Macaca mulatta: one gene and its partners. The main gene of each other region encodes a partner of the protein of the gene in region 3 in a complex. Links are inferred from orthologs where the notes say so. Each region holds a gene or a part of one and is shown on either strand. Other genes may lie near its edges. The genes, in order: CBLL1, RBM15, METTL3 and WTAP.

The links.
Region 1: METTL3 (region 3) and CBLL1 share a complex: the UniProt entries of both Homo sapiens proteins name them as parts of the WMM complex. The link is inferred for Macaca mulatta from reciprocal best matches to the Homo sapiens genes METTL3 and CBLL1.
Region 2: METTL3 (region 3) and RBM15 share a complex: the UniProt entries of both Homo sapiens proteins name them as parts of the WMM complex. The link is inferred for Macaca mulatta from reciprocal best matches to the Homo sapiens genes METTL3 and RBM15.
Region 4: METTL3 (region 3) and WTAP share a complex: the UniProt entries of both Homo sapiens proteins name them as parts of the WMM complex. The link is inferred for Macaca mulatta from reciprocal best matches to the Homo sapiens genes METTL3 and WTAP.

The regions. Positions count from the first base shown.
Region 1 is NC_133408.1:147,359,827-147,367,227, reverse strand, and holds part of CBLL1 (E3 ubiquitin-protein ligase Hakai), read right to left. Parts: intron 7,156-7,401; coding exon 6,988-7,155; intron 3,206-6,987; coding exon 3,105-3,205; intron 2,721-3,104; coding exon 2,637-2,720; intron 1,207-2,636; coding exon 1,133-1,206; intron 1-1,132. UniProt on the Homo sapiens protein: E3 ubiquitin-protein ligase that mediates ubiquitination of several tyrosine-phosphorylated Src substrates, including CDH1, CTTN and DOK1. Targets CDH1 for endocytosis and degradation.
Region 2 is NC_133406.1:129,851,587-129,859,600, forward strand, and holds the start of RBM15 (RNA-binding protein 15), read right to left. Parts: upstream 5,395-8,014; 5' UTR 4,524-5,394; coding exon 1,661-4,523; intron 1-1,660. UniProt on the Homo sapiens protein: RNA-binding protein that acts as a key regulator of N6-methyladenosine (m6A) methylation of RNAs, thereby regulating different processes, such as hematopoietic cell homeostasis, alternative splicing of mRNAs and X chromosome inactivation mediated by Xist RNA.
Region 3 is NC_133412.1:94,368,946-94,377,061, forward strand, and holds the start of METTL3 (N(6)-adenosine-methyltransferase catalytic subunit METTL3), read right to left. Parts: upstream 4,768-8,116; 5' UTR 4,651-4,767; coding exon 4,551-4,650; intron 1-4,550. UniProt on the Homo sapiens protein: The METTL3-METTL14 heterodimer forms a N6-methyltransferase complex that methylates adenosine residues at the N(6) position of some RNAs and regulates various processes such as the circadian clock, differentiation of embryonic and hematopoietic stem cells, cortical neurogenesis, response to DNA damage, differentiation of T-cells and primary miRNA processing.
Region 4 is NC_133409.1:12,278,979-12,286,919, forward strand, and holds the start of WTAP (pre-mRNA-splicing regulator WTAP), read right to left. Parts: upstream 5,083-7,941; 5' UTR 4,866-5,082; intron 4,708-4,865; exon of another isoform or gene 4,510-4,707; intron 1-4,509. UniProt on the Homo sapiens protein: Associated component of the WMM complex, a complex that mediates N6-methyladenosine (m6A) methylation of RNAs, a modification that plays a role in the efficiency of mRNA splicing and RNA processing.

The DNA of each region.
Region 1 (7,401 bases), on a different chromosome or scaffold from region 3:
CATCTGAAATCCTTTATCCCAATGAAGCAATCAAATTTACTATGTAACTTAAAATGAAGGTATACCATGTTGAAAACTTAGGCCTGAGAAAACACCCAAAAAAACAAATGATATATATTTCTAGTGTTTTAACTCTTCTGAATTATAATTCTATAAACGAAATGTTTTAAACTCATAGAAAAATGTTATCATCTGTTACTTTAAAATGCGAATAAAAACATGCCAAGAGAATTAGTTGTCACTGAGCTGTCAATAAATCACCCCTCTCTCCTGCTGATGTTAAATTTTCCTACACCATAAAACGGAATCATTGCTGACAAGTGTCCACAGCTTTGTTATCAATCAATACCACAAATCTTGGTGTAGCTTTAAGCACAGGTTATAAGTGATCTAAGAAGCCTATGGCTATTCCAAGCAAGTATCTCTCATTCTTTCTTAAGCATTCCTTATCAAGAGTTCTGAACTGATATAAAAATTCTTATTCTGTTTTCTTCAAGACTATCCCAAAACGGATCTAGCTTTTTATAATTTGAGACTATGTAATGATGGTGTTCTAAGATATACTCCAGATACAATAATCAGATTTGAAAGTAGCAAGAGCTTATATATATATATATATAGTGCTTACTATATGCCAGCTACTATATATACGTACGTGTGTACATATGTTATATATATAAAACCTCATTTAATCCTAAAAATACCACAAGGAGGTAGGTACTATTATCAGCCTCATTTTATCAATAAAGAATAGTCTATGACAGTAAAACAGCCAATAAATAGCAGAATAAGGATTCACACCCAGGAATTCTAATTCTGGAGTCTTTGCTCTCAATATATCTTAATACTTCTTTAATGTCTCATCAAAAAAGTAACTGTTTTTGGTTTATAATAATACTTCTATAATGGCAAACAGATTTCATTCTGACCAATTTGAGTTGACTGACAGTGTTTACCTTGCCCTATATTAAAGAGAAACGCTAGGCAAGCTGGGCTCACAGAAAAAGATTAGCCATGTCTGTATGTTTGATCTCCTGCCTGATTTGTATCACTCCCTAACCTTTAATCCAACTTACAAATCATTGCACTAAAACTTTATTATTTAAAAAAGGTAATGATAATCTTATCTTACCCTGGACACATCTTATCTCCCTTTTTTTCATGTAAAATAGCACAGTCATAGCAAAAAACATGCTTGCATGGAATCTGTAAACAAAGACATATTACAGTTAAGCATATTAGAACTTAAAATATTTCTTAAAAAAACATATATATAGTGACCTATACATAAGGCAGCTTAGAAGATACTTGAGAATACCTGTTAAAATGAATATTTATTAAGTACTAATTATAATAACCTTTTTCAATCACAAAGCCTTTTGAGAACATCACAAAAACTATGGCCCCTTTCCCAATAAATATACACATATGTATTTGCTTACACTTTCTGGAGGTGTAAACTCTATGAATTTCACCCATGGTACCCAGACGTTTTTTCCTTTTTTTTTAAGAAACAGATCTTGCTCTGTTGCCCAGGATGGAGTCCACTGGTGTGATCACAGCTCACTGTAACCTCGAACTCCTGGCTGATGTTCCCACCTCAGCCTCCAGAATAGCTAGGAACATAGGTGTGTGCCACCACACCAGGCTAATTATTTTATTTTATTGTAGAGACGAGGTCTCGCTAAGTTGTCCAGGCTGGTACCAAACTCCTGGCCTCTGGCAATCCTCACACCTCAGCCTCCCAAAGCTGTGGGATTATAGGTGTGAGCCACCACACCCAGCCCTCTGCAGGTCAAAACCTCCTGAAGAACACTTTAATTACATGGTTTTTTTTTAAATCTTGTTTCTCCTGAAACTATTTGAATGCAGTAAAAATAACAAGTATGTCCTATGTTTAATAAAAGCAGCATCTTCCTCTGGTCGTTTTAAGTTAATCAACTAATAAAAATCTAAAAATCAATCAGAAGGATACAGTAAAATGATGTTAGAACCACATTTTTAAATTCACAGCCTGTTACTATTTCTTTACTATGATGTACAGGAAAGCAACAGTGCATAATCCACGCCATCTACCATCACAGGTACGTTATTGAATTCGATTTTTTTTCTAAACGCAAACGCAAAACTATCTTTTTTGGAGGGAAGAAATGTGAAAATTACTATAAAATTAGTTAGGATTGTAAAATTTTTTTAACGATTAGAATTCAATTTTCAGAAATATTATCAAGCCTCTCTGAGCCTCAGGAAAAAAAGAAATTATAAATATTATTAATGCAGTTTTATGTAAAAAAAATTGTGGCCTTCAAACATAAGTAGTTTTGTTCTATTTATTAAGAAAAAAATTTTTCCTTAATAAACTAGAATAACTGTAAACTAACTGGTATCAAACACTCTAAAGAAATTAGTTTTCAGAAATTATTTTAATTTTCAGTTTTATTTAATATTTTACAAGAATTCAACAATTTGTCAAGATAATATTAAATTCATAGTATTCCAATACTTCCCTTAATTATTTCATACTTATTTAAAATGTCGCAAACTTAGTCATGAAACAATGATAAACCTATCTAAATTTCAGAACCCGACCTCTATGCAAACGCTTACTGACAAAAACAGTATTTAATTATACTTACCATTCGCCCATAGATTTTAATAGGCAATCCACACTTGTCACAGAAATGAACTGGTGTATCATCCTTTTCACCTAAGATGTTTATCTGTTGAAATGATATAATTAAAATTATCTTCTCACACAATTCTAAAGATTGTATCTACACAATGAATTGGTCAGTGTTTTATAAAAGTTGTTAAAACAATTAGAAATAAAAGCTTCTTGGTATAATCTCCATGTATTCCCCACCATTAGCTGTGATACCATTAGTTTTTCTTCTTAGTGTTAATAGTTACTGATTTTACTGAAAAGTACTTCAAATTATTCTTGAAAATAGAGTATTAACAAATGATTTGTACGTACTGAAAATCAGTTACAACAAGTTCATAACATTCTTTATGTATTGTGCATTACTCTAATAAAACATTTTAACTATTTAATACTTAAAATATTTTATTGTTCTAATACAATTTTTCATTTTTAATTATACCTGAAAGTCCCAAAAAAGGTGTCCAGGAAACCTTCGCTGATTTCCAAACAGCTCACCACCTTTACAGTCATACCGTTCTTCTTCATTATAATCAAATCCTTCTGAGAAAAAAAAAAAAGTACTGCCCATTAACTTTCCACATCTCAAATTTCATTTTGGAAGTACATATACATGGCAAAATAGATCTTTTCACTAAAAAGCCCATCTGATGCCTTTCAAAGCTTTTCTAAGAATAAGACAATCAAGATTAGTTTAAAACGTCAGTTAGAAGTGATCTTGGTGATCTAGTCCAACTCTTTCACTTCATTATTGAGAATATTACTATATGGAGACTCATAACAACTCAACATATAGAAAAGTGGCAAAGCCAGGAACAGACCTCAGATCTCTTGACTCCCATTCAAAGGCTCTTATCAATTCATGAAACTATTTCTAATGTAAAATGTTACTGACTACTGATTATCATGCTTGTTGCACAAATTTTTAAGATACTGATCACCATTTATTCTAGTCTAGCTACAAAAATGGTATGCCATGAGACTGATTTTATTGCCAAGAGTATAATGAAAACATAAAGCATTCTATGCATTTTATTAGCAAACAAGTTATCTTCTTCTTTGCCCTAAAATGAGTAATTTAGACACCTTAACATATTCATATTTCATCCTGTCGATTAAAACCACTCCCTGATTAATTACCCAAACAGCAGCCATATCATATCTTATGTATCCTTTCCTACAACGCATTTATCAATATCAATAAACTTAAGATATATGAAGATCAAATGGGCTCAATTTCTCTGGCCTAATTAAAAAGTTGATGGCAATCTTCTCATCTCCTACAAAAGAACAAAAAACCAATCAACAGTCTGATGGGAATTCCAGGTAGAATCCAATTACCTAAAGTAAAGCTGAGCAGACAAATATATCCCTCCAAGGAGCCAGGCTTCTCACGACTCTTTTGGCCCTAGAACTGGTAAACAGAGTAGCCAAGCACACAAGTTTTAACTTTACCCACATGACTAAATTACAGCACCTATACACAGACACAGACACACACACACACAGACACACACTCACATTAACATACAAATAGTGATGCAAGAATTTTTTGAAGCTGATAGACACTTCAGTGTACTGCTATTTAATTACTGCCAATACGAATGTATAATCCAAAGTCAGGGCGCTCTGATAAGCCACACCTGAGAGTTCCTAGGCTCCTCTATCACCTATTTACACCTTAGAAAAGCTGGTGTGATCTAAAATTCAAAATAAGGAAACTCAATTTTTCAAACCCAGAAAATGATTGGGATAATAGCCAAGGAAATCAGGAGCACATTATCATTTTTCAGAGTAGTTCCACCTGTACTCCCATCATTAAACTATATATATTTGTAGAGATACCACACTGACACCCCAAACTCCACATTTTGATTGATGCCTAGGAAAACAACAATCAAAAAAAAAATTTCTTTTACTCCAAATTCCAAGAGGGAAAGGGGGAAAAGGATTTTGGCTTTTCTGCATTGTTTGAACTATTAAAGAATGCATTTGTACACTACCATGTTGTTTTAAAAAATTAGTTTTTTAAAAAAAGCCAAAGCAGGAGTGACCGTAAATTAGAGGTAGTGCAACAGCAGCCCTAGGTTATTACTAACACAATTTGTAACAATTTGACTTCAAATATACTTGTTTAGATGAGAGAGAAACCCTACAATAAAAGAAACCATAATGTATGTTTTAACTAAAGCAGCTTGATCCTACAAAATAAATACAGACAAATTGCTGGAATAGAATAGGAAGTCTAGAAATACAAAAAAATACTTTTAATACAGGGGTCCCCAACTCCCAGACCTTGGACCAGTACCCTTGGCTTGTTAGGAACGCGGCCACACAGCAGGAGGTGAGTGGAGGGCTAGGGAGCATTACCACTTGACCTCTGCCTCCGCCTCCCGTCAAATCAGCAGCTGCATTAGATTCTCATAGGAACACAAACCCTATTGTGAACTGTGCAAGAGAGGGATCTAGGTTGGTGCTCCTTACAAGAATCTAACTAACGCAACAGTTGCATCCCGAAATCACTCCCCGCACCCTGCCATCACTCTCCATCTGTGGAAAAACTGTCTTCCATGAAACCAGTCCTTGTGCCAAGAAGATTGAGGACTGCTGTTTTAACATACATATGATAACAATAAAATTCCTATTCAGCAAGGAAAAGAGTTGGGACAATGTTTTGGGGGAAAAAAAAGCCAGACGCCACCTTTTTTCCCCTTAATAACCAAATACATATCCATAAATGTTCTCAAGCAGTATCAGTGAACTTTTTCTGTGAAAGGCTAAATAGTAAATAGTTAGGCTTTGTGGACCATATGGTCTCAATCACAATTAACTCCACTCTACCATTATAGTGTGAAAGCCCCCATAGATAATACTTAAATGAATGAGCATAGCTGTGTTCCAATAAAATTGTTTATAAAAACAGGGTTACATTTGGCCCACAGACATAGTTTGCTAACCTGTAATCAAGGGTAAGATGGAAAAACTCTTTTATACTGGTGAAATAGGGGAAGGCCTTTCAAAAAATGTCACAAAACCCAGAAGTCATAAAAGCAAAGACTGGATACCTGACTACATAGAATCTTCAAGATTCTCTGCAATAAATATTTTGTATACAAAATTAAAAGACAAGTGTAGAATATATACAATATAGGCCAGGCACAGTGGCTCATGCCTGTAATCCCAGCACCTTGGGAGGCTAAGGTGAGAGGAACGTTGAGCCCAGGAGTTCGAAACCAGCCTGGGCAACACAGCAAGACCCATCACTACAAAAACTAAATACAAAAAATTAGCCAAGCAGGTGGGGCGCACCTGTAGTCCCAGCTACTCAGGAGACTGAGGTGGAAAGATCACTTGAGCCTGGAATATCGAGTCATGATCCCACCACTGCACTCCAGTCCAGGCAAGAGAGTAAGACCCAATTTCAAAAAAAAAAAAAAAATATATATATATATATATATATATATGTATATACACACACACATACATACATAACATATAACAAAAATCCTATTAATTTACAAAAAACTCAGAAGAAAGGATCTAAACAAGAAGGACCAATACTATGAAAAAATATTTGCTCTTTCATAATTAAAAGAAATTTACATCAAAACAAAAATTTTAAAAGATTTCTAGTACTCACTATTGGTGTATGGGAGTAAAAACTAACATACCTTTTTTGCTGCAATTTGACAGTACTTGTCAAACTCTAAAATCCACAGTATCTATCAAGTTTTAAAATATCCAAATTTGTAGTTTTAAAGTCTTTGGAATTAAAAAAAAAAAAAAAGGCCAAATCTGTGCAAAGTACAAATTCTACAAAACACTATGTCCAAGAATATTTGGTGCAACATTTTTTGTAACAGAAAAAAAATGGAAAAACTGTTAAATTATGGTATATCTAAAAATACCCAAACCTGTTTTTTTTAATGAGGTATATCTGCATGTACTGATAAGAAAAAATCTTAAATGCGTATTACATGAAAAAATGTCAACTACACATAAAAAATCAGTACTTTTGTATAAAAAAGTCAACAGGGATTATCTTTGGATAGAAGGATTTTACTTTTAATGTTATGCTTTCTGCAATACTGTTGAGATTATTAAACAATGGGCAGCATTGCTTTCAACAACAAAAGGAATCAAATCAAAAATATTTATAAAGGGAAATAAAAATACAATGTGCTACAATGAGAAGTCAAACAAAAAGGTTGAAGAATAAATATGATATGTAAGATAAAAAAGAGGTAGCTATAAGATCACACAGACTATCTGGAGCAATCAGATAAAACAGAAAGAGTGTTGGACCTATTAGTTAAACAAATTACCTTCATCACCAGGTGGAGCCTTTGCAGGCATCCTGTTTATAGTCCTTTGAGTTCGCGGTGCAGGTTTTGCTTTGTTTGCTTGTTTGGAGATGAGCTTTATAGGAATTCGTCTGCGAACATCAAGACCACCCAAGGATCCAGAACTATTAGTGCCTTGTAACTCATTGTCTATGTCAGGGAAAAAAAAGTTGTAACTTCTTTTAGTTTTTCTTTTTAAAGATTATTCTGCCACAGGTATTAAAACAACATACCTAACATTATCAAGTTTATTAAAGATCTGGGTTCTGATTTTCAATATTACATTAAGTTTAACTGCTAATTTTATTTATTTTGGATCAACACTTAAGGCAATGCTTTTTAACCCTTTTTGAGATATGGAATCCTTTAAGAAACTGATAAAAGTTATAGGACCTC
Region 2 (8,014 bases), on a different chromosome or scaffold from region 3:
ACAGCAGTGATGACACTTTCGTGCTGACATGCATTAGACACCTGTCATAATGGAAAATAAAAATTACATGACATTTCCCTGGGTTATTATTGGTGCTATTTCAAAACTTCCAGCTTTGATAACAGAAAGAAAACAGTTGGGTTCTGCCAGGCTTCAAGTTAAGTCACTTTCACAGAACAGAAACATGACCATGATCCAGAAGGTCCAAAAGTCTCTAATCATAATTAAATATCAAGGGCCTTAGCTGAAGTCTTCAGCATTTAAATCAAGGGAGAAAAATATACTTACTAATGACCTGACAAATTAGGGGTGGGACAGAGGGGATAGATTTAAAAAAAAAAAAAATCCATTACTGTTAAGCAGCAAAAGTCCTTGTTGAGAACCAGAGGTTGATGTCATTATCACCTTTGAAAAAAAAAAACTGTGAGGGTAAGTTAAATGATCCTGTATTAATTCCAGGTGTCTGGGAAAATAAAACAATAAAAAAAGATTTTCCTACACTGACATTTCAATTCCGTAGCTGGACAGCAGTGAGAATACTAAACATAAAATTTCCAAAATGTTCAAAACATTTCCAATAATGTAATGTCACTACTGTTTAAATATGAAAATAAAAAGACAAGCAAAATTTTAAGAGAGCATGTCAAAGGCATTTTATGATGACTTTTTAAGAAAGTCTGCAATCCAAATATGGCTGCTTTAAATGCCCACTGAAATAAAAGATGACTACGAGCCTGCAGACAACTCTTCTTTCTATTATTGAAACCAGAAATTTGAATGGATACAAAATCAAAAACTCATCTTTGATGAAGAACAGTTTTGAAATATGCACAATTAGAACTGTACCTGCTACACCTCTCTGAAAAAGTCAGTAAAAACATCACCACACACCAATAACTGACCAAAGAATTCTGATTTTAAAAGCACCTACTCACTTCTTGCATACTAGTGTAAGCATAAGACATATATGGTTTGTAACATAGTCCTTAATTTTTACTGAACAGTTACTGCTACAAACCAAAAGTGCATACACGGGATACAGAACTCTAGAACAAATGATTTTAAAAATGCATGTTAAAGCAAACTCTCTGGGAATAAACTGTATCTTAATATTCAAATACCTGATTAAAATAATTACATTGCTAAACAATTTACCAGCATACCTTTGAGATCCCTGATCAAATTTCAGTCACACACATTTCTGGTAAAAGAATTATCTACCTACACACCAATCAAGTCATTTTTAGGTGGCTATTACTCTCTTTGTATGGTCAGTGGACTCCTTTCTCCAAATTCTGACTTTTCAAAGTTTTGGTTTTGTAACTCAGAGGATTTTTTAGGCTCAAGATTAAAAAAAAAAAAAACTGAATAGAGGAAAAAAATTACTCATAAGGGTGGGAACTCCTAATTAAAGCAAATCTGTCTGCCTGCTAACCTTTAGGGCATCCCTTTCACTTAAAATAATAGCTAAACAAACAAAAAAATAGCTAAACTGTCCTGATTTCTATTTTAAAGACGTTTATAAAAATATAAAAAAGAAAATGCTACAACTAACAACTAAAAAGAAAATTGCATCTGATGCTGTATCCCATTACACATCACAAAACAGGAACCATGTCAAAGTAGTAAATACAAGTTACACATGGACTTTAGGACGCACCACGGACAATGATCATGACCAGGTAATCTTCTTCAGATTTGGCCAGTGCCTTGGCAGGGGAATCCAGGAACTGCTGGGAGAACTCACAAGGTGGGAAGGCATGAAGGACCCCGGTGTTTTCCTTGTCTTTGTTGCCCCCCACAGGGAGGCTGATCACCCCGGCTGCCTGCTTTTGCTTTAAATAGGACACAAGGTTCCTAAGTGGCCTCTGAGTAGAAGTGGCAGTGTCTGATGCAGCTGAGGAAGAGGAAGACCGGCTGTCAGAACTTCCAGGCACAGCCAGAAGAATGGCATAACCATTGGGCCCTGCTACTTTGATGCGTCGAGTTACTTCATCCAACTTGGGCTGGTCCAAACGGAGACGCTGAGTGATCTTGAGCTGGGCCACTTTGCCTCCAGTTGAACCCTCCACAAGAAGACTACTAGCCACTTGGAGGTCACCCTGCAACAGATGCATGTTGGAAGGAAAGTTGCTGTTCTTCAGTAGAAGCATGCCCTGCCAGGCCAAACAGAGTTTGGGAGAGGCTGCTGCCGCAGGGGCTGTCCCCCCATCCTGTTTCTGGGACGGGGACTTCAGCTTGCAGGAAGCAGTGCTGGTGCTAGGTGCACTCCCATCAGAGCGGTCTTCTTTTTTCAGAGGGCTTTTTCCCTCAGTGGGAGCAGTTGTCCGGTGCTTCCTATCTCGTTCAGCTGATGCAGAGTTTTTACGGTCTCGCTTGTCACCCTGGCTCTTCTCCAAACTACCTCGTCTGTCTCTGATTGGAGAGGGCCTTTCCAAGAGAAGACGGGAAGATCGATCATTGTCGCTGTTGTAACGATCCCGGCTACTGCTCAATTCTGGACTGCGGTCAGGAGAAGGAGCGCAGTGACGTTTTCGTGGGCGGTCACTCTCAGGAGACCTATCCAGATGACGTCCTCCACTCTCCTCAGGCAGCCTTCGCTTCCTAGGCTGGTCTCTGCTGCTGGGCAGATCTCGATCACCTCTGTCCCGGTCCAAGGACCAACCATCCCGCCTGCGATCAAGGCTATCCAGTGGCTCGTAAGCAGGCACAGAAGTAGCTGCAGTCCGAGTGCTGCGTTCTCGGACTGGGGGTGGGGGTGGCACCCAATCAGAGTCAGGATAAAGGTCCCTATCACGATCTCTGTATAGTAAGGGTGGTGTCCTATCCCGAGCACCCCTCAAAGGGTCAGGTGCCCGATGTCCAAAAGCATCTGTCACCAGCTCATAATGAGTCAAGGGCAGAGGCTGCAGATACTGCTGCTGGTAACGATGTTCGGTGTCGGCAAAGTCTACTCTAAGGCGTCGATCTGGGCCACCAAGTGGGAAGCCCCGCATATGGGTCCAGGCAGCATGCGCTGCATCCAGGCTTTCATACTGGATATATGCCCAACTATCACCTTTTCGGTAGTCTATGGTGCGTATGGTGCCAAATCGATCAAATTCTCGTGCCAGGGCAGCAAGAGGAACCCAAGGTCCCAGGCCTCCCACCCAGAGGCGGGTGGTAGGTGTAGCTTTACCATAACCAATTTTGATAGGATTCCGAATTATAATTTTGCCGGACATTGCTAATTTGGCCCGGTGAGACATATCTAAGTTCTCAAATTTGAGAAAGCCGTAAGTACTAGTCTGGCCGCGAGAAGGCCTCTTGATATCTACTTCTGTGATGACTCCAAAGCGATCAAACGCCCTTCTTAGATCATTCTCCGTTACAGTGATGTCTAGGTTGCCCAAGAAAAGCGTCCGGTTAGCTCGCTGATCATCCTCGGGTGAAATCTCATCCACTTCTCTGAAAGGAGCAGCACCTGCTCCAGCTCCCACCCTTGGCTCAAGACTGTATGCAGGGCGCACTCTCTCATAGAACGGGTAGTCTCTTTCTCTCTCCAGCTCTCGAGGCAATGGTGGCGGAGGTGGAGGGGGCAGGCGGCCAAGAGCCAACTGCTGCAGCCGGTAGTCTCTGTATCCTAAAGCAGCGCCACCAGGGGAAAGTGATCTCTGGCCTCCACCACCTCCAGGGGGGTGCCGGTGACCACCTACAGAGGCCCCGACCACGCTGGCTGAAGGAGGATAAGTATCTTTGTCTAAAGGGGAGCGGCTGCGGCGCCGGCTCACATACACAGCTTCTATCTTCAGAGGCCGGTCATAGAGCACCAGGCGGCCTCTGGCATGCTTGGCCGCCCGCGCGTCCTCTGGCCGCCGGAAGTTCACAAAGGCTACCCGCTCATCCCCGCTGCCAGAACCCGACAGATGACTGATTTTGACACTTACATCACCGAAACGTTTGAACTCATGAAACAGGCCGTCCTCCACCGCTTCGTCACTAAGCTGGGACCCCAACTCGCTTATCTTCAGAGTCTTGTATTCCGCGCCGTCCCCGCCGCCGGGAGCTGAGGAGGCGGCCCCAGAGGAACGTGACTCCCCGCCTCCACCCCGGGAGCTGCTGCGCGACTCGCCCCCGCCCGAAGAATTTTTGGTGCTCGGGGAGCTATAACTATGCAAGCGGCTACTGGAGCTGCCCCCACCGGTGTCATACTCGCGGCTGCCACCTCGACTGCTGGACTTGTCCAGGTGGAGACTCCGCCGCGACCCGCCGCCGCTATCGGTCTTTCCGCTGCTGCTCCCATTGCTGCCACCAGAGCCCCCTAACTTCTTGCTCCGCTCTCCGCGGGAAGTCGAGTCCTCACCACCACGGGAGCGTTTGGCCTTGACTGGCGAGCGCTCTTTTCCCTTCATTGTTGCGGGTCCTCGGAGGTCGTCTCCGCGGAGCTGATCAACCCGCCGCCCCGCGCTCGTTTCACACAGCGGAACCGCACGCCGCCATCTTGGACTCCGCCGCGGCACAGGGTCCCGCCCCGCAGTCCTCATTGGCCAATTAGCTCTCTCTTCTACAGTCTCATTGGGAAAATTATTTGTCTATCTTTACATCTCCCCGCGCTCCAGGAAGGCGCCCGCCCAACCACTGTTATTGGGTTCCCAACCCCCTAGTCAGAGTACCTCATTGGTTACATTTGTTGTCTATCTTAACGGTTCCTCGCGCCAGGCTGTAGCTCCGCCCCTCGCACTCTGCGGTCACGTGACCCAAAGTGTAGCTGTGTTGATTGGACAAAAAGTCTGCCCTGTAACGGTACTTCTTGCTCAGTGAAAGCAGCAACCCCGCCTCCTCATCCCTTTCATTGGCTTATAAACCCGTCCTTTAAACCACTATTTGGGAGGTGGGGCCAAGTTTCGGCGTTTTTTCGAGAGGCAGGCTCACAGCGATATCGCGAGAGACGGTGAGCTCCCTCTTTCGACCCCCTTTTTCCAACTCCTCCGGCGGCTAAAAGAAGTTTAAATCTGATTGGATGTCTGCAAGGAAGTTGATAGGCTGAAGTAACTGTCCATCACTCGCTTAAAGGGGTAGGCCCATATAACGGAGGAGGCTGACTGAAGGTGAAAGACTAGAACACGTGCTTGCTATGCGACGTCACTTAGATGTCGCGAGAGGGTGACTGTGCGCCAGCCCCGCCTCCCCGCGTTTTTGGCGTTCTCCCCACAAACATTTGTTAAGTTCCGTGGGGTATTTGGCTGTGCTTCGGCCCTTGGAGTTCGAAACTTCTGAGCTCCCCGCCGTCCTACCTGTGCCGGCCAAGGGGCGGGGCAGACTCTCCGGCTGTCGGGGCCCTCCAGTCCCTTAGGAAGCCGTCCTGGGACGCCTAGCGGACACCATCTTATGTCGCTGTGGTAGCTGAGTGTACAGCCGGGGGAAGCCCCGCCCCCCGCGCGCGGGATAGCGATGCCCGCGGTCACCTGGGCCCGCGGGGCAGGGAGTTCACGGTTCCTGCAGCCCCGGGTCACGCTGACGCCCCGGGGCGGTGCTAACACGTAACACGCGGGACCTCGAGAGCTAAGTAAGGTGGCTGAGACGCAGCCCTAGCCCAGGAGCTTGTCTCCCCCCGGCGCTCCCCGTTGCCGCCCAAGTACTCTGGGCAACCGAGGGGAGTGACCGTCGATCCCCGCCTCGTGGCCCGCGGGCGGAGCCGGAACTGTCAGGACACCGCGGACGTGTCTTTGGGCTGCCTGTTTTATGTTGCGAATCTGTGTGGATTTTTAAATCCGGTATTCCCGTAAAATAGCAATGTTTGTTTTTAATATGTAATGCTTCTTCCCTGAAAATCATCGAGCGAAATTTAGGCTCCATGCAGATATGTCGCTTTTTATTCCCCCTGTGGCTTCTTGTATTCCTTGGCACTCCTCTTTTTGTGTGTTAAAAGCCAGCAGCACAGGCACCTTGTGGCCGCTCCGGATCCACTTCGTTTGGCTCCTTCTGTCGTTCGCCTTACAACTTTAATTTCCATAGAGCGTTACTGTGGCGGACAGAGCACCTGTGAGAGGTGCAGGCGATGCCGAGCTTAGGGGGATATGGCCTGTGCCCCAGCACTCGCCGGTTGCTGCAGGGACGCAGCGCTGAGGTCACCACATCCTTTAGACCGTCTGCAGCTCTCCCGGGTATGCGCCGGGGCGGAGGTTATATTGATCCCGTCCTCAACCCTATTTCCCAAGATCCAATCTATAGTAGAGGTGTGAGGTGTTTTTAAACATGACATTTTTCAGGATAACAATAATGTCCCAAAAGCTGAAACCTAAACTTGAAAACTGTTAATATTAGGAACTGTAACCTAAATTTAGCCTTGGCTGAGCCATCCTTCTTTTTGTAAATAATCCTGAGGAATATGAAGCTGTAGGCCTTTTATCTCTTGAATAAATCAAAGAAACTTGAAGGAAGAAGCTCAATTGTAAAGCATAAAAATCCACAATATTGTAATGTGTAGACATATTCATTGTATTAAAATAGGAAATAAAACTTCAGAAGGCATAAAATAACGTGTATAATACGCTACCATTTGTGGTTTTAAAAATATTTGTATTTTATGAGTATGTACATTTAAAAATATTTTCGTGGAAACTTTCTTGACAACTACGTGGGAAATTGTTCCTAGGATTGCCCTGAGGAGGGGTGTAAGGATCTGGAGTCGGAGGGAGACTTCACTTTTCTTTGTAGAAATCTTTTGTTTCTACAAAGGGCGCGCTATTACTCCTTCAGTTTAGAAAATAACATTTTTAACTTTCCTTAAACTATTTTTATGGAAAAAGTTTAAAATACATAAAAGAATAAAGAACTCCCACGTGTACCCAACACCCTACTTCAACAATTATCAAATCATGTCAATCTTGTTTCATCTGCATCACTCTTCCCACTCTTCCTTTCTCCATTGTTTTCTGCAGACTTACCTGATATACATTTCCTGCCCCAGTTGTGGAGTCAGCCATTTCTCCAGAGAGCTCTGGTTCCTTTTAGTGGGAAATGGTATTTAAAGATAAAAATCTGGATGCTGGAGGATAAAAAATACATGAACATATTATTTGTAAAAGCATGAAATAAAAGAAAAAGTTTTACCTGGGTTTAAATGTTTCAGGGTTATATTAATAGACCACAAATGGAAATTGAAGTTAAGCCATTATCTAATTACTCAATATAACAGTCAATTGAGATAATAAACCAGGCACTAGAGTGACTTTTTAACCTAAATTGACCTGCTAAGGTGACTCACTGATCAAAGAAAAAGATAATGACCAAATCAGTAGTTTTCCAGACCTCATGATAGGGGTTGAGGGAGCACAAGATTTGAGAGAAATAATTCAGGGAGACAAGCAGACACCCAGTCTGTGTGAACATGCACCAGAGGCATGCCAAGCTTAGTGGCTTGCCACTTCAAATACCGGAGAGCTTGATGGAAGCTACTGCCCGCGGCTGGCTATAGTACAAAGGCTTGCCGAGGGGGACTGAAAATCTGCCTGGAGCCAAGAGGACTAGTAAGTTTTATGCTTAGATGGAAAAGGCCTAGATTCTATTACAGTAACAGCCAAAATATTGTCTGTGATGTGTATGTGTGTACATGTGTGTGTGTTTCCACAACAACTGAATAATGACATAAGTTGGATCCATGCTGTAGTTAAATGATTTGTTTTCATTTCCTTTGTATTCTTGCCCCCAAAATTACCCCCTTCCCTGGCTCCCAGCAGATACTACCTGAAAATCCTTTGTGTTCTTTAAAGCAGTGGTCCCCAATCTTTTTGGCACCAGGGACCAGTTTCATGGAACTGTGCCACCTCAGATCATCAGGCATTAGATTCTCATAAGGAACACACAACCGACATCCCTCACATACTCCGTTCACAATAGGGTTAGCCCTCCTCTGAGAATCTAGTGCCTCTGCTGATCTGTCAGGAGGTGGAGCTCAGGCAGTAATGCTCCCTCCCCTGCCCCTCACCTGCTGTGCAGCCATGTCCTAACAGGCAACTGACCATTACTGGTCCAC
Region 3 (8,116 bases):
ACCCAGGTTCATAGCAGCATTATTTACGATAGCCAAAAGGTGGAAGTAACCCAAACGCCCACCCATGGATGAACGAACAAAATGTGTTATATACATACAGTGGAATATTATTTATCCTTAAAAAGGAAGGAGGCCAGGCATGGAGACTTATGCCTATAATCCCAGCACTTTGGGAGGCTGAGGAGGGAGGATCACTTGAGCCCAAGAGTCCAAGACCAACCTAAGCAACCTAAAAAACCTGTTGGGTGTTTTGCCCAAAAAATACAAAAAATTAGCTGGGCAAGGTTGTATGTGCCTGTAGTACATACAACAGGCACCTGCCACCAAACCTAGCTAATTTTTGTATTTTTAGTAGAGACAGGGTTTCGCCATGTTGGCCAGGCTGGTCTTGAACTCCTGACCTCAGGTGATCCACCCGCCTTAGCCTTCCAAAGGCTGTGGACACCTGTAATCATAGTTACTCGGGAGGCTGAGGCAAGAGAACTGCTTGAACCCAGGAGGCAGACATTGCAGTGAGCTGAGATAGCACCACTGCACTCCAGCCTGGGTAACAAGAGCAAAACTCCATCTCAATAAATAAATAAATAAATAAATAAATAAATAAATGAAAGAATGAATGAATGATAAAAATGCCAATCTAACGAAGGTCTCCCAATATTTTGCGCACAGTATTTTCCACTATTAATGATATGGATACATTTTAGTTCATTTTCTATCCTTGTCTTTTGACACTGAGTTCAGTAGTCAATAATTATCAGATTTCAGTAATGCTATAAAAAACAAGATGTGGTACACAAATTTTTATTGCCGGTGAGACATGAAAGGAATAATCTGAACTTTTATCAAGTCTTGGGTTGTATCTTACATGACAACATGATTAATAAACTTACTATAGAGTATGTTTCACAACGGTTTCCTAAGAATCCTAAAGCTCAACAAAATACATTCTTTGAAATAATCAAAATAACACAGAAAGAACAGTGACATTCTGGCTTAATTTGTGTGTTTCATCTTTACCTATTACCACAGTACCAAATGATGGGTCAGATCAAGCTCTGGGTCAGAAGACAAGATACATTTAATTACAACCCCAGAAATACTTTTATAAGAGTCTTAACTAGGCTGGGATTACGTCTGTAATCCCAGCACTTTGGGAGGCCAAGGTGGGAGGACAGATTGAGCCCAAGAGTCCAAGACCAGCCTGGGCAACATGGCAAGGCCCGGTTTCTACAAAAAAATTAAAATTAAAAATTACGCGTGCATGGCAGGGCACACCTGTGGTGCTAGCCACTCAGGAGGAGGCTGAGGCAGGAGGATCACTTGAGCCCTGAGGTCAAGACTGCAGTGAGCTGTGTTCATGTCACTGAACTCCAGCCTGGGTAACAGAATGAGATTCTTGTCTCACACACACACACAGAAAAAAGGGTCTTAGCTATATTATTAGCTAGATATACAAGTCAAGAGATACTCATATCTAAAAAAGAAAAAATAAACATAAAAAAGGATATTTACATGCAGGGAGAATACAGTCTTAGTGTCAAAAATATTAAACATGTTTAGCAAGGACCTGGATGAAAGTATCAAGGCTCTAGTAGTTAGGTCTGATACAGCAAAAAGTTTGGCTAATACCAAAATGTAGCTAATATCATGGAAAAATGAAATGGCCGGGCACAGTGGCTCATGCCTGTAATCCCAGCACTTTGGGAGGCCGAGGCAGGCGGATCATGAGGTCAGGAGATCAAGAGCATCCTGGCTAACACGGTGAAACCCCGTTTCTACTAAAAATACAAAAAAATTAGCTACGTGTGGTGGCATGCACCTGTAGTCCCAGCTACTCGGGGGGCTGAGGCAGGAGAATCGTGCCATTGCACTCCAGCTTGGGCAACAAGAGCAAAACTCCGCCTCAAAAAAAACCCCAAAAAAACAAAAAACAACAAAAAAGAAAAATGAAATGAAGCTTAAAATGACCAAGAACAATTAGAATCATTCATTGAAAGAGTATGAATTTAGAAATGGAAAAGTATAAAGAAGTACGATGCCCGGCACAGTGGCTCACACCTGTAATCCCAACACTTTGGGAAACCGAGGCGGGCAGATCACCTGAGGTCCAGAGTTCGAGACCAGCCTGACCAACATGGAGAAACCCTGTCTCTACTAAAAATACAAAATTAGCCGGGAGTGGTGACACATTCCTGTAATCCCAGCTACTCGGGAGGCTGAGGCAGGAGAATCGCCTGAACCTGGGAGGTGGAGGTTGCGGTGAGCTGAGATCGCACCATTGCACTCCGGCCTGGGAAACAAGAGCAAAAACTCCGTCTCAAAAAAAAGAAAAAAAATAAGTATGATGAGGAACAATTAAAACCAAGAAACAACCACCACCACCACAGACAGAGGATGGTCTGTTACAAAACGACAGAAACGTGAACACAAAGTAATCAATGATGTAGTACACCAATATAGTGGCTTTTTAAAAGTTAATTTTGTAGGCCAGGCCTGGTGGCTCATCACGCCTGTAATCCCAGCACTTTGGGAGGCCAAGGCGAGTGGACTGCTTTAGCTCAGGAGTTCAGAGACCAGCCCGGGCAACATGGTGAAACCCCGGCTACCAAAAATACAAAAATTAGCTGGGCGTGGTAGCACACGCCTGTGGCCCCAGCTACTTGAGAGGTTGAAGTGGGAGGATTGCTGGAGCCTGGGAAGTCAAGGCAGCGGTGAGCCATGATCATGCCACAGCACTCCAGCCTGGGTGACAGAGGGAGACTCTGTCTCTAACTAACTAAATAATTTTGCAGATCACTCTGTTGAAACAAACAACTACCTGATCCTCAGGTCCCCTTTTGCAACTGCCATTACTGAAAGGGAAAAGATTCCACAAGAAAATTAAATAGCCTGGATATGGTGGCTCTCACCCGTAATTCAAACACTTTGGGAGGCTTAGGCAAGAGGACAGCTTGAGCCCAGGTGTTCAAGACAAATTTGGGCAACATAATGAGACCTTATCGCTATTAAAAATTTAAAAATTAGCCAGGCATGGTGGCATGCCCCTGTAGTCCTAGCTACTCACAGGATGAGCTGGGAGGACTGCTACACTCCAGCCTGGGCAACGATGAGAGACCCTATCTCAAAAACAGAAGCAAAAAAAGTCGCTGGCATCATTTATGCACATTTTTAAAAAGTTTCAAAACAGAAAACCAAAGAATAGGGGAAACAAAACAAAACAAAAAATTGTATCTATAAATAAATCAATGAAGTTTCTAGAGCAAGGAAAAAAAAAAAAAAAACTCTGGCTCTTAGGTAATTCAGGAACTACTCCGAGACTTGACTACTAATTATTGCCTGATCAAATGACTTGCACTTCTTACTCTACTATCCTCCCCTCTTACCTCTTTAATTATCTAGGTCCTATATAGCCATAAAGGCCAAATTCAAGTGCCAATTCCACTATGATGGCTTTGATGGCTTCACTACCTACACCAGCTCTTGTTACTTCTCTTCACTGTACAGACTGTAGATTCATTCGTTTGGTTTCATACATATATCCTATCATATTCCTTTTTGTAAGCATCTACCTTTGAATCCTATGGTTTTTAAAATTCTTGAGGACAGGGGCAATTTCTTACTTATTTTTGTCTAGTTAGACCCATGAACACTGTAGCTAAGAAAGGATAATTAATTAGGTGAGAGGATCCTGCCCGTGTATCTTCTATTTCTAGGGGCCAGAATATGAGCACATGAACCTAACATGATCTAGACAAGATTTAGAGATGGAGTTGAAGATACTGACAAATATTGGAACAATCTACCACAAGGGTGATATTGAGTCACTATTTTTGCAGAGCTTTGTTACTAGTTTGCCTTAAATAATTCAGAGTTTGTCCTGGGGGTAAGGAGTGGATAAGAGTGAACTTAACAATCTTTTAAATTTCCTTCAAGTTTTATGATCGCGACATAGGGGCAACAGGAGAGGAGAAAAAGTTTGGAAATCAAACACAAATGTTTTCAGGTTCCTGCTAGGTATGTAAATTGCTAAGACAATGCCGGTAGGGGTACTCATTCAAAAACACCGAATGCCACTCTGTACGGGCCACTAAATTGGACACTGTGGATATGAAGGTTCATTCCTTGCTTACCGTACCCACAGGTGCCAAAAAATGACCACTACAAAATAGTCGTTGTAACTGAGGGAACAAAGCGCCATAGCAGCAACAAAAAGGGGTTCTTGCTGCTTCGTGGGATAGGGGGCTGAGAAGCCTCACAAAGGCGACGTCCTCGCAGTCTAAAGAGGAATGGGCAAGGAGGACGAGGGTGGGGCTCAAGCATCCGTCCGATAGAAGTGAGCAAGAAGAACCGAGGCCCAGGGTGAGGAGGAACAGCGAACTACTTGCAGAAGGGCGAAGGTCTGTGCTGCTGAAGGGGGAGATGGAGTACCAATGTACGAGGCTTTATAGAAATGGCCGTTTGGTAAAGGGCAGTAACTCTGGAGCTTTTTCTCTAGGGATCCCGCCCGTCCTCCCCAGTTGAGCCTCGGCCCCAGCAGCCCAGTGCCTCACCCAAATGCCCCGAGTCCTGCTTCCGCCTCCGCTGCAGCCTCTCCCGCAGAGAGTCCAGCTGCTTCTTGTGGGCCTGGATAGAGCTCCACGTGTCCGACATCCTAGTCTCCCAGCCCTGACGCCTCTCGAATAAGGCGCGGCGGACTAGCACCTCCCAGCACTCGCTCCAGGATATAACCAATTCTCACGCGGGCACCCCGAAGGCTAACCGGAAAATGACCCCTAGAGATGAGCAAGACAGAAAAGTCATTTCCGGTGTCGCGCTTTCTTGGAAGCTCTAAAGAGAGCCACGTTAGGTGTTGGCAGAGCGGCCAATATAGTCTTTATTACCTGCTCTCTCTTGCTTCCGGGCACAGTGAGGCTGTGGTTGCCATGTTGGTGACTGGCAGAGCGGCCATGTTGCTTATAGACGCGCATGCGGCCATGTTGAATATTCGGAGAGGAGTCCTGAGAGGTAACCTACGTTAAAATAGCACTCATAAAGAGCAACACCGTATAGTACAGATTTTTTTTTTTTTTTTTTTTTTTTTTTGAGATGGAGTCTCACTCTGTCACTCAGGCTGGAGTGCAATGGCGTGGTCTCAGCTCACTGCAACCTCCGCCTCCCGGGTTAAAGTGATTCTCCCGCCTCAGCCTCCAGAGTAGCTGGAATTACAGGTGCGTGCCACCACACCCAGGTAATTTTTGTATTTTAGTAGAGACAGGGGCTTCACTTTATTGGCCAGGCTGGTCTCGAACTCCTGACCTCGTGATCCGCTTACCTCAGCCTCCCAAAGTGCTGGGATTACAGGCGTGAGCCATTGAGCCCGGCCTGACACAGAGTTTCATTCTTATCACCCAAGCTGGTGTGCAGTGGTGTGATCTCAGCTCACTCCGCCTCCCAGATTCTAGCTGCCTCAGCCTACCTAGTAGCAGGTATTACAGGCGCCTGCCACCACGCCCAGTTAACTTTGTATTTTTAGTAGAGATGGGGTTTCACCATGTTGGCCAGGCTGGTCTTGAACTCGTGACCTTAGGTCATCAGCCTGCCTTGACTTTCCAACGTGCTGGGATTACAGGTGTGAGCCACCGGCTTGGCCTTTTTTTTTTTTTAATGGAGCTCCCTGAATGGAAACATTTCCAGAATCACTGACTTATCCAATGTCTACATGATGCCATACACTGTGTCCAAAAAATACAAAAAAAAATAGTTTGACTGGCATGGCTCCTGTTTTCAAAGAGTTTATGATCTGGTATAGGAGCTATGAGCCAGTTTATTAATACTGAACCATCTTTACAGCATGAGGTAGCATGAGCATAGACTCTTTAAAAAACAAAAACAAAACAACAACAACAACAACAACAAACGTAATTTCAAAGAAGAGGAGGACTGCAAGTTTAAGGACCCAGGAAGACATTGGAAAGAAGCTGGCATCAAGGTGCAGGCTTGAAGTGACCGCTAAGTTTTCAGTAGGTGAAGGTATAGGAGGGAAATCCAGGTCTAGAATATGATAAAGGCAAAGGTCTAGACTAGAGGTAGGAAAGCACGGTGTGTGTTATGTCAATCCGGATTAGTTCGCCAGAACATAAAAGATTTGTATTTGGGAATATTGGGAGAAATTTTAGGTTCCCAAATTTGAGGCCAGATTGCAGAAGGTACATGGTACCTGAGTAAAGACTTGGCAATTTATTCAGAATACAATAGGAAACAATTAAAGTTTGTAAATAGAAATGTTTCAAAATTGATCTACTGTTCTAGATAAATTGAAAGGAGGAAGGAGATTTAGGAGAGGAGAAAGATGGTTAGTAGTCCATTGTAACTAAGTGTCTGATGAGAAGAACTTTAACTAAAAGCTGGTTATGAACAGTAATGAAAAGGAAGGGGTGAATATGAAGGGAGCTATTGAAAGATTGTAATATGACTTTTATCCATTCAGTAAGTATTGAGTGACTACTATGTGTTAGATACTATGGAGATTTAGTAGTGATCAAAATACTCATTTCCATCTCATTTTCTGAACTTAATTTACTTTTAGGGAATTTACACTGTCTTTTGGGATGTGTAACTTTGTTTTTTTGTTTTTGTTTTATTAAGATAAGCCTCACTCTTTCACTGCTGGAGGGCAGTGGTGCAAAGAAGTAGCACAAGTACTCCTGAAAGTCAGTCAAATCAAGGGCAGCTCTCAGAAGTTTTTGCTTTCACATTAACTCTGGGTAAATTATTACAGTGGCATATTGGGCAAATTTTTTGAAGTACAGGAAGGTCTCTTATCATGATATTCTTATAGAGAGATTCTTTTTAGACTCCTCTTGACCAGTTTGCTGCTCAAAAGAAAGATACTGCTTTCTTGTCAGCCCAGCAGCCACAGAGGAGGAGGAGGAGGAGGAAGGAAAAATGCAGACAGACTTCTTCTAGTCAAAACAGAGTGTAAGCCTAATTTTGAGCAGATGGGTGCTGCATGCATTACACTTCTGAACTTTTCCTCATATCTGCTGTGGTAGATTGCTTCCAGAGTTGGCCACAACAATGCCTCCCACCCACTTGCCTTCAGGCAGTGTGACTTTGCCCCCTTTCAGTCAATAAGTAAAGCTTATTCTCTCTCCTCTTGAATCTGAGCTAGGCTTCTGACTAGCTTTCACCAAAAGAATGTGGCAGAAGTGATATTCCCTGAGTTCTAGACCTTAAGAGGTCTGGACCTTAAGAGGCATTACAGCTTCCGGGGTTTGGTTTGGTTTTGTTTCTAATTTTTGAGAGAGAGTCCCTGGGTCTGTTCCATCTAAACACTATTGAAGCAAGACACAGATCTGAGGGACCTCCAGATGTGCTGCCACAGCTTCTGTTTCTGCCCTCTTGGAACCCTGGGCCTTCATGGAAGTCCAGTTACCCTGCTAGACCATTTGAAAAGAGAGACCCTGTAGGATGAAGGATGGTAAGGAGAGAAGGTTCAGCATTACAGTCAGCCATCCAAGTAGCCAGAAGTGAGTGAGGCCATCTTGGCTTCTCCAGTCCAAATGAAAGCTGCCTGAATGAGCCTAGTCCTCACCACATGGAACATAGACAAGCCATCCTACCAGGCACTCCATGGAATCATAAGCAAATATGTAAGTATTAAGACACTAGACCAGGTGTGGTGGCTCACACCTGTAATCCCAGCACTTTGGGAGGCCGAGGCAGGTTGATCACGAGGTCAGGAGTTCGAGGCCAGCCTGGCCAACATAGTGAAACCCTGTCTCTACTAAAAATACAAAAATTAGCCGGATGTGGTGGTATGTGCCTGTAGTTTCAGCTACTTGGGAGGTTGAGGTAGGAGAATCACTTGAACCTGGGAGGCAGGTTGTGGTGAGCTGAGATGGTGCCATTGCACTCCAGCCTGGGCGACAGAGCAAGATTCTGTCTCAAAAAAAAAAAAAAAAAAAGAAGACACTAGTAGGCTGTGTGCTGTGGTGTGTGCCTGTAATCCCAGCTGCTTTGGAGGCTGAGGTGGGAGGATCCCTTGAACTCAGGAGTTCAAGACCATCCTAGGCAACATACGAAGACCTCATCTCAAACAGTACTAACTGTATACTTCACTTTTTTTTTTTTTTTT
Region 4 (7,941 bases), on a different chromosome or scaffold from region 3:
TAGTTGGCCCTTGAACAACCCAGGTTTTAGCTGTATGGGTCCACTTATATGTGGATCTTTTTCAATCAAACTCAGATAAAAAATACAGTACGCGGATCAAAAATACAGCATTCATGGCATGCGAAACCTGAGTATGCAAAGGGCAGACTTTTCATACACCAGGGTTCAAATTCCTTTGCCAGGATTTTGGCAAGGATTGTCTGCGTATGTTTCTACAACCTGATACTTCCCGGATCCCACTACCTTCCGGCTCCCAGCATCATGAAGTTACTTGCTTACTCTCTTCTTAAAGTTTACTTGCTTCTTCATAAAGTTTACTTGCTTACCCTCTTCTTAAAGACAGGTATCCATATTCTTATTCCATTAAAATAAAATTAACTGTAAGCTTAGTTAGCAACGAGATGATAATCTGTTTTTAAATGGCATTAAAAGGACTGAGAAACATATGAAGACAGTTCTGATAACCTTGGTATTCTAAAACAGGGTGTCAACTTTGCAAATACAAAAGTAGCAAAATCTCTGCACCTCAGTTTCCCCACCTCAAAGAGAATTACTGCAACCAGGGTCCAAATACTGTGCTATTTCTGAAGACAGACATTAATCTTTAGCATGGTAACTGGAACAAAATGGGCATTTAATTATTAGTTTCCTTCTCCCCATCAAAAACACAGACTCAGTGTTTCTTGAAACACCTGAAAAGATAATTCACAGGTTGCAGATAATAGTCATACTGTCATCCTGACTGTTTCTAACACTTACTGCAGAATTCTTGGCATCTCCAATATTTAGAATTCTAAACAGAAGTTACTTAAATTTTCTTTTTCTCTCTCTTTCTTTGAGACAGTGTCTCACTCTGTCGCCCAGGCTGGAGTGCAGTGTGACTCGATTATGGGTCATGCAGCCTCTATCTCTTGGGCTCAACTGATTCTCTTGCCTCAGCCTCCTGTGTAGCTGGGATCACAGGTGTGCACCACCATGCCCAGTTAATTTTTTTTTCTTGTTAGTAGAGATGAGGTCTTGCTATGTTGCCCAGGCTGGTCTTGAACTCCTGGGCTCAAGTGATCCTCCTGTTTGGACCTCCAAAAGTGCTGGAATTACAGTTGTGAGCCACCATGCCCAGCCTACAGTTATTGAAATTTCTTTTCTTTTTTTTTTTTGAGACGGAGTCTCTCTCTGTTGCCCAGGATGGAGTGCAGGGGTATGACCTTGGCTCACTGCAACCTCCGCCTCCTGGGTTCAAGCGACTCTACTGCCTCAGCCTCCTGTGGAGCTGGGACTACAGGCACGCGCCGCCACGCCCAGCTAATTTTTTTTTTTTTTTTTAAGTAGAGACATTATTTCACTATGTTGGCCAGGCTGGTCTCGAACTTGACATTGGGTTATATTCTTTTTAAAAAGTTTGATGTTGAGTAGATTTTAATTAAATGGAGATTTTTACTGAAATTTTCTCTAAAAATAAAATTCTGTATTTGTAATGTAAGTCAGGAGTAAATACAGGTTTTGGATAAATGTGTATGCTTCCTAAGTCAATTCTCAGAGTCACTTTTAAGATCACTCCAGCTGTTTGGGGTATCCAACTTGGGAAATTCAGAGCCTCGGCATTTAGAAAGAAAATCCTTTCTCAACTTTAATCTGATGAAAAGTAAATCGTTCCTTGAAAGTCCATGATATGTCACAAAGTTAAATGCACCATCTGGCAAAATCAAATTAGAACAGGTTCAAAATTTACAACTATCTAACAACATTCAACTATTTGGTCAAAACAGAACCTAATTGGCAATTTTGACTTTCACACCACAAGAATGTACTGAGAAGTTTGGTATTCCCCAGGGCAATTTTTTTTTTTTTTTTTTTTTAGCGCAAATGACAAAAACAATTACCATTTAAAGTCAATTCTAGATTCATAAAGACAATGAATATTCCAGGTTTTCAGAACAATCTACTGTCACATCAGAAAAACAGAATGACCATAACATCATTTGGAGTCAATTAAAATTGAATCCTGAAGGAAAATAATAAAATATGCTCAGTTCTTATGAGTCACACATTGAATAACAGCACTTTTCAAAGTCAAAGTTAGTTCCCATTTTCCAGGATGAAAATGACTGTGAGTCATTAGGTGATTAGCTATTAGGTGATGAAAACAACTATTAATAAATTGGGGTAAGGGTCTCAAATTTGGTGCCACCCAAAAAGGTGGTAACATGATTGACTAGTTTTATAACACGAAAAGGTTTCAGTTATTTATGTAGATAATTCAGAGATAATATATCTCAGAATATCAGGACAACCATCTACTCTTGATGTCTTAACATAGAAAAACAGCTTAGTATGGAGTTCAGTCTTGACTGGTTAGGTGCCTAAGATCCCAGATCCCAGTACCTTCCTGGCTCTCAGCATCATAAAGTCAGGTAACTCAGTTCCCTCTGAACAGAGGCAAGCGCCAACCAACACAACTTCAGTAAGAAGACACAGTACCTTGGTGAAACAAATCATAGCTGAATGTAAGAAATCAATCTTCAGACACTGTAGGAGCAAGGTACTGATGAGGAACTGAAAGGCCATCTTTTCCTTACCCTCTATCTGCCATATGTGATTCCAAGCAAGTCTTTTAACTCTTGCAGTTTCAAGTCAGCAAAAAGATAATTTTGCCTGCCTCACAAAGTGCTGCAAATATTAATGCTTTCAGCACAATAAAAATGCTACAAATAGATTTTTCAAACAAAATATGAACATAATATGAACATAAAAGGCAACTTCAACGTGCACTTAGAAAAGATTAAATTCTACTAACTGTATCTTCAAAGGCAGAAAATATTTATAGCACTATATTCTAGTTAGATGGAATACCGTTATACACAATGAAGTATACTATGGTGGAGATACTGAGAAGTTTTTCTGTGTTAAGCTTAGTAACTACAAGAAACAAAATATTTAGAGGCAGAAAGTTGGAGACAACTAAAAAAATTAACACTATCTTAGTCTTGTTTTGCTGAAGGACCTACTAACATACAATTTTGACGAGCAAGAAACAAATATATAATGATCTAAACTGCTAAACAATATATTCAAAGGGATTCAATACTACATACAAGACCACAGGGGACCTTGAACGCTTTACTGTACTGTACAAATTGTGACAATGCTCATCTCCACATCATAGGGCTTTTACATATTTTCTGTTTCATCTCTACCAGCTTATTTCTGACAAACAATACACAAAAATATTTTCAGCAAACATGACTCAACGTTGAATTGGAAAAGCTACACATAAAAGAGCCATGTAAAAATAAGCTGTGCCTGGGACACCCTATTATTATTACTTTTATCCTTTAGGAGTTAGACATTCTGGTAGCTTGTACAAATTCTGCCACTGAAAAAGTACGAAAAATACTGAACTTTTAGACTATGTGTCTGCTTAAGATACCTTAAGATCTAAAAGCACTGTAAGAAACACACCTATCCAAACCTGTAAAATGTAACCTCAACCTTATCACAAGCCAACCTGCGGACTTGCCTAATCAGATGCTACTTGAATGAATTAAAATGTATCCACCTTGAAAAGATTTTTCGCTCATAATTTTAAATTACGGTTTTAAATGACCACAACATGTTTATCGTAGAAAACTTAATGGTCAAAATTTTAAAATCCAAAAAACGAGACCGTGTGATGGATCTATGACGTCCACTTATCTTCCGAAGCAACAGAATTAACTAAAACTAGATAAAATAGGCACAAATACAACTTCTAACTGTAACATACTAATCGAAGTATTTCCCTACCAAACTAAACAGTTTTTTTTTTTTTTTTTTTTTTTACATAATCAGCTATGCTAGTCCTTGATAATGTTAAGCTAGTCCTTTGGGATCAACCAACCAAGTGACTTCCTTATCAAAACAAGAACTTGGCCTTTTCCACTACGTGTACACTGACTTATGAAAAAAGGTTAAAAAAATAATGTAGTAACTGTCTCACAGGGATCCAACGTAAGACTTGGATTTCACAAAAATCTGCAAATAATTCAGTTTCTTTCCTCAGAATGCATGCACTCATTTAAAAATGGAAGTCTACAAGAGAACGTAGCTGCAGTAACATCCTACTGCGTGACATGAAATGTAGGGAACGAACGTTTCTTTTTTTCCTTGCTGAACTCGGGAGAGGCCCAAGGGAGGTGGAGGGAGCAACACCGAGGTGAGGAAAAAACGAGCGCCGCCGCTCAGCCCGCGGAGGGCATCCTCCGACCTCCGTGAGTGGCCGGTCTCTCTGGCCGCCGGAGCACCCCTCTCACCCCGGGCCCTGGGGACGGAGGACGGAGATAAAATGGCCTCGACGCGGCGGAAGTGTTCCCCGCTGGCGGGAAGGTAGAGCGGATAACGAGACTGGTGCCGCGCCGGGCCCGAGTGGCCTTTCGGGCCCTGCCAGCCTCTTACCGGCCGGGGGCGGCTGCGCCCCAACCCTCAGCCCCGGAGGTCCCCCGCGGCCGCTCCCGCCAGCCGGCCCGCACCTACCTCTTCAGGCAGAAGCCGCGCCGGCGCCGCCAGTCGCATAGGCCGAGGCCGCGCTGCTTGCCCTGCCGCCCGGGCCCCCCGGGCCCCCGCGCAGCCGGACAGCTCTGGCGCCTGCCCCGCCGCACTCCTAGTCCCGCCGCAACCCCAGCGCTCCCCTTTATTTGTGGGTCTCGCTGCCACAAAATGGCGCTGAGGGAGGAAACCAGGACCCGCCGCCCGGCCCCGCCCCGCCACCGGGCTCCGCTCCGCCCCGCCCCGCCCCACAGCCGGCCCAAACTCGCCGCAGGCCAGCGCCACTGCCTCCCGCCTCCCGCCAGCCTCCCCGCTCCGCCATGTTCGCGTTCTGGCCCACTCACAGAAGAGTCGCCTTTCAGGCGTGGCCGCAGTCACTCGCCCGCCGCCGGGCCCTGCCAGGAGAGGAAAGGTGAAGGGAGGGAGGCCGCCAGCCTAGCCCGATCGGGGCCTCGAGGCGCAATGGAGCAGCTGCTCCCCGGTAATACGCCCCGTCCTTTCCCAGGAGCCTGGCGCGAGCTCCGCGGGCGCCGGAGCTCAGCTAGCGCGGTAAGGGAAGCGGCCGAAGGGAGGGGCGGGCCAGCGAGGTCGGAGGTCAGCCCCGGGGCATCACGGGAAGGGAAGGTGGACGTACTCGCCGGGGCCACCTGCGGCTGCGGGGGCGGCCTCGTGCGGAGGGATCTGGGCGAAGGCGGCCCGTGATTGGCCGCTTTGTGTTCGCGACGCTCATCCGTGATGCTTCCGCGTGCCGGAGAACCAGGTGCCACCTCAGAAGAGAAGCGGTGGGCGGCGAGCCGCGGGCCTTTGCTCTTAGCAGAAGCTCACCTGTAAGTTTTGGGAACTTAGAATCCGATGTCCTCCCTCTCTTCAGTCGTGAGGCGCAGCCTTCTGGCCGCTGGGTTCGTTCCTCCTTGACATCTCTGGAGACGCATCAAGGAGCTATTGTTCTCCGGCGTCGGAGGTTGCGCTGTGTCCGCGGCGCTGAGGGCTCCTTGCTAACTCGAACGTGGGGAAGGCGGCCCTGTGAGGTTTAGTGAACCCAACCAAAGAGGTCCTGCAAGTGGAGTAGACTCCCTGAAGCAAGACTGCCATCTGGACCGCCGAGTAAGGGCGGTGTTACCTGGAGAAGCAGTCTCTAAACACTTACTAGAGGAGCACGTAGTTCTTTTGATTGGTCTGTCCTTAGCCGGCTTTCTCGAACCTGTTCATCCCCAAAGGAGTGTCTTGTAGTAGGGTGATCTATTAGGATTAAAGTACATTCCAGATGGCCATAGTGTGTTCCCAGTGAATCAGATCAGTCTGGAGAAAATCTTTGCAACTTGTATCACAAGAGCGCTAAAAAATTGAAAACAAAAAGTCCAAAAGCCAAAGGGGAAAATGGGGAAGCACATGAACAGATGATTCTCAGAAAAAATAGTCATTTTTTATGTTCTATGTAATTCTGTGTTCCTCATGAACATAGAAAGTCGCTCCACCTCACTTACAATGGAAATACACATTGAAATTGCCTTTCCTGGTGGGAATGGAAAAATGGTTCAAGTTCTGTCGAGTTCAAAATTACTTGTTTTTTCTTATACCTTGAAGTTATACTTCTAACCCTAACCTTATTCTGAAGGTACAGCTCCACACGTGGAAACAATAGGTACACAAGGTTATTGCAGTGCTGTCATAGCAAAAGTTAGGGATAACCCAAATATCCATTAATAGAGAACTGATTGGGAATGGTGCATCCATACAGTAGAATACAGTGCAGCCATTAAAAAGATTCATAAAATAATCGTGTTGCTTTGAAATGAGTCTCAGGTTATATCAAGTATTCACTTAAATACTTAAGTATATTAAGTATTCACGTTATTCAAAAGCAAAAATAAGCATATATGCTTTTATTTACTTAAATATATAAAAATATATTTAATATGAATATTTATATATATATACTTATTTTGGGGGAGGAATTGGAAGGATATCCTTGAAACTTAAAATAGTTACCTATAAAGAGTGGTGGGAAAGAGTGGAGGGGAGACAAGACTTCTCTACTTTGAATTTTTCGTTTTACATAGCCAAAAAGTAAATAAAAAAGAAAACAAAATAAATCCTAAGGTTGAAAGCAAATAGAAACAAATGAACTTAACTAATACAACTAGCGATACACAGAAAAAATAATTTGGGGCTTTTTTTTTTTTTTTTTTTTTGAGACAGTCTCACTGTGTTGCCCAGGCTGGAGTGCAGTGGTGTAATCTCAGCTCACTGCAACCTCTGCCTCCTTGGTTCAAGCGATTCTTCCACCTCAGCCTCCTGAGTAGCTGGGATTATAGGCATGTGCCATCATCCCCTGCTGATTTTTGTATTTTTAGTAGAGATGGGGTTTCACCACGTTGGTCAGACTGGTCTCAAACTCCTGACCTCAGGTGATCTGCCTGCCTTGGTCTCCCAAAGTGCTGGGATTACAGGCATGAGCCACCACCACTGGCGCCTCCGAGCTTTTGAACACAGTACTCTAGTAGTGTATCTGTGTTGAGATAGTGTAGTCTTTCCTTATATGCAGGAGATTGCGAGCCACCACCACTGGTGCCTCCGAGCTTTTGAACGCAGTACTCTAGTAGTGTATCTGTGTTGAGATAGTGTAGTCTTTCCTTATATGCAGGAGATTGGATCTAGGACCTTCTGGGAGCCTATACAGAAATCTGCATACTAAAGTCCCAGACCTGAGCATAGGGAAAGTTGGTTCTTTGTATAGGCGTGTTTTGCATCCTGCTGTACTTCTGCTTTGTTTTCTTCCTTCCTTCTCTTTCATTTCTTTTCTTTTTTCTTTCTCTCCCTCTCTTCTTCCCGCCCTCCTTCCCTCCCTCCCTCTCTCCCTCCCTCCTTCCCTTTCTTCCTTTCCTTCCCTTGCTTTTCTTTTTTTTTCTTTTTTGAGAACAGGGTCTGACTGTCATCCAGGCTGGAGTGCAGTGGTACGATCACGGCTCACTACAGCTTTGACTTCCTGGGCTCAAGCAGTCCTCCCATCTCAGCCTCCCGAGTAGCTGGGACCACAGGCATGTGCCACCACATCTAGGTAATTTTTTTCTGTTTTTTTGTAGAGCGCTATGTTGCCTAGGCTGGTCTTGAACTCCTGGGCTCAAGTGATCCTCCCACCTAGCCTCCTAAAATGCCAGGATTGTAGGTGTGAGTCACCGTCCCTGGCCCCACTGTGTTTGGGTAAAAAGAAATCCACATATAAGTGGACCCTGGCAGTTCAAACTAGTGTTATTCAAGGGTCAACTGTGTATCCTAAGGATGAAAAAAGTGCAAAGGAGCTTTCAGCTTCACTGATTTATGATTAATGGTAACATTGTTACTGTGGTTTTGAAACTGTACTGCATATGGTAGGATAACATAAGTATTTTAATGTTACTGTGTACAAAGACTTGCAGTGTA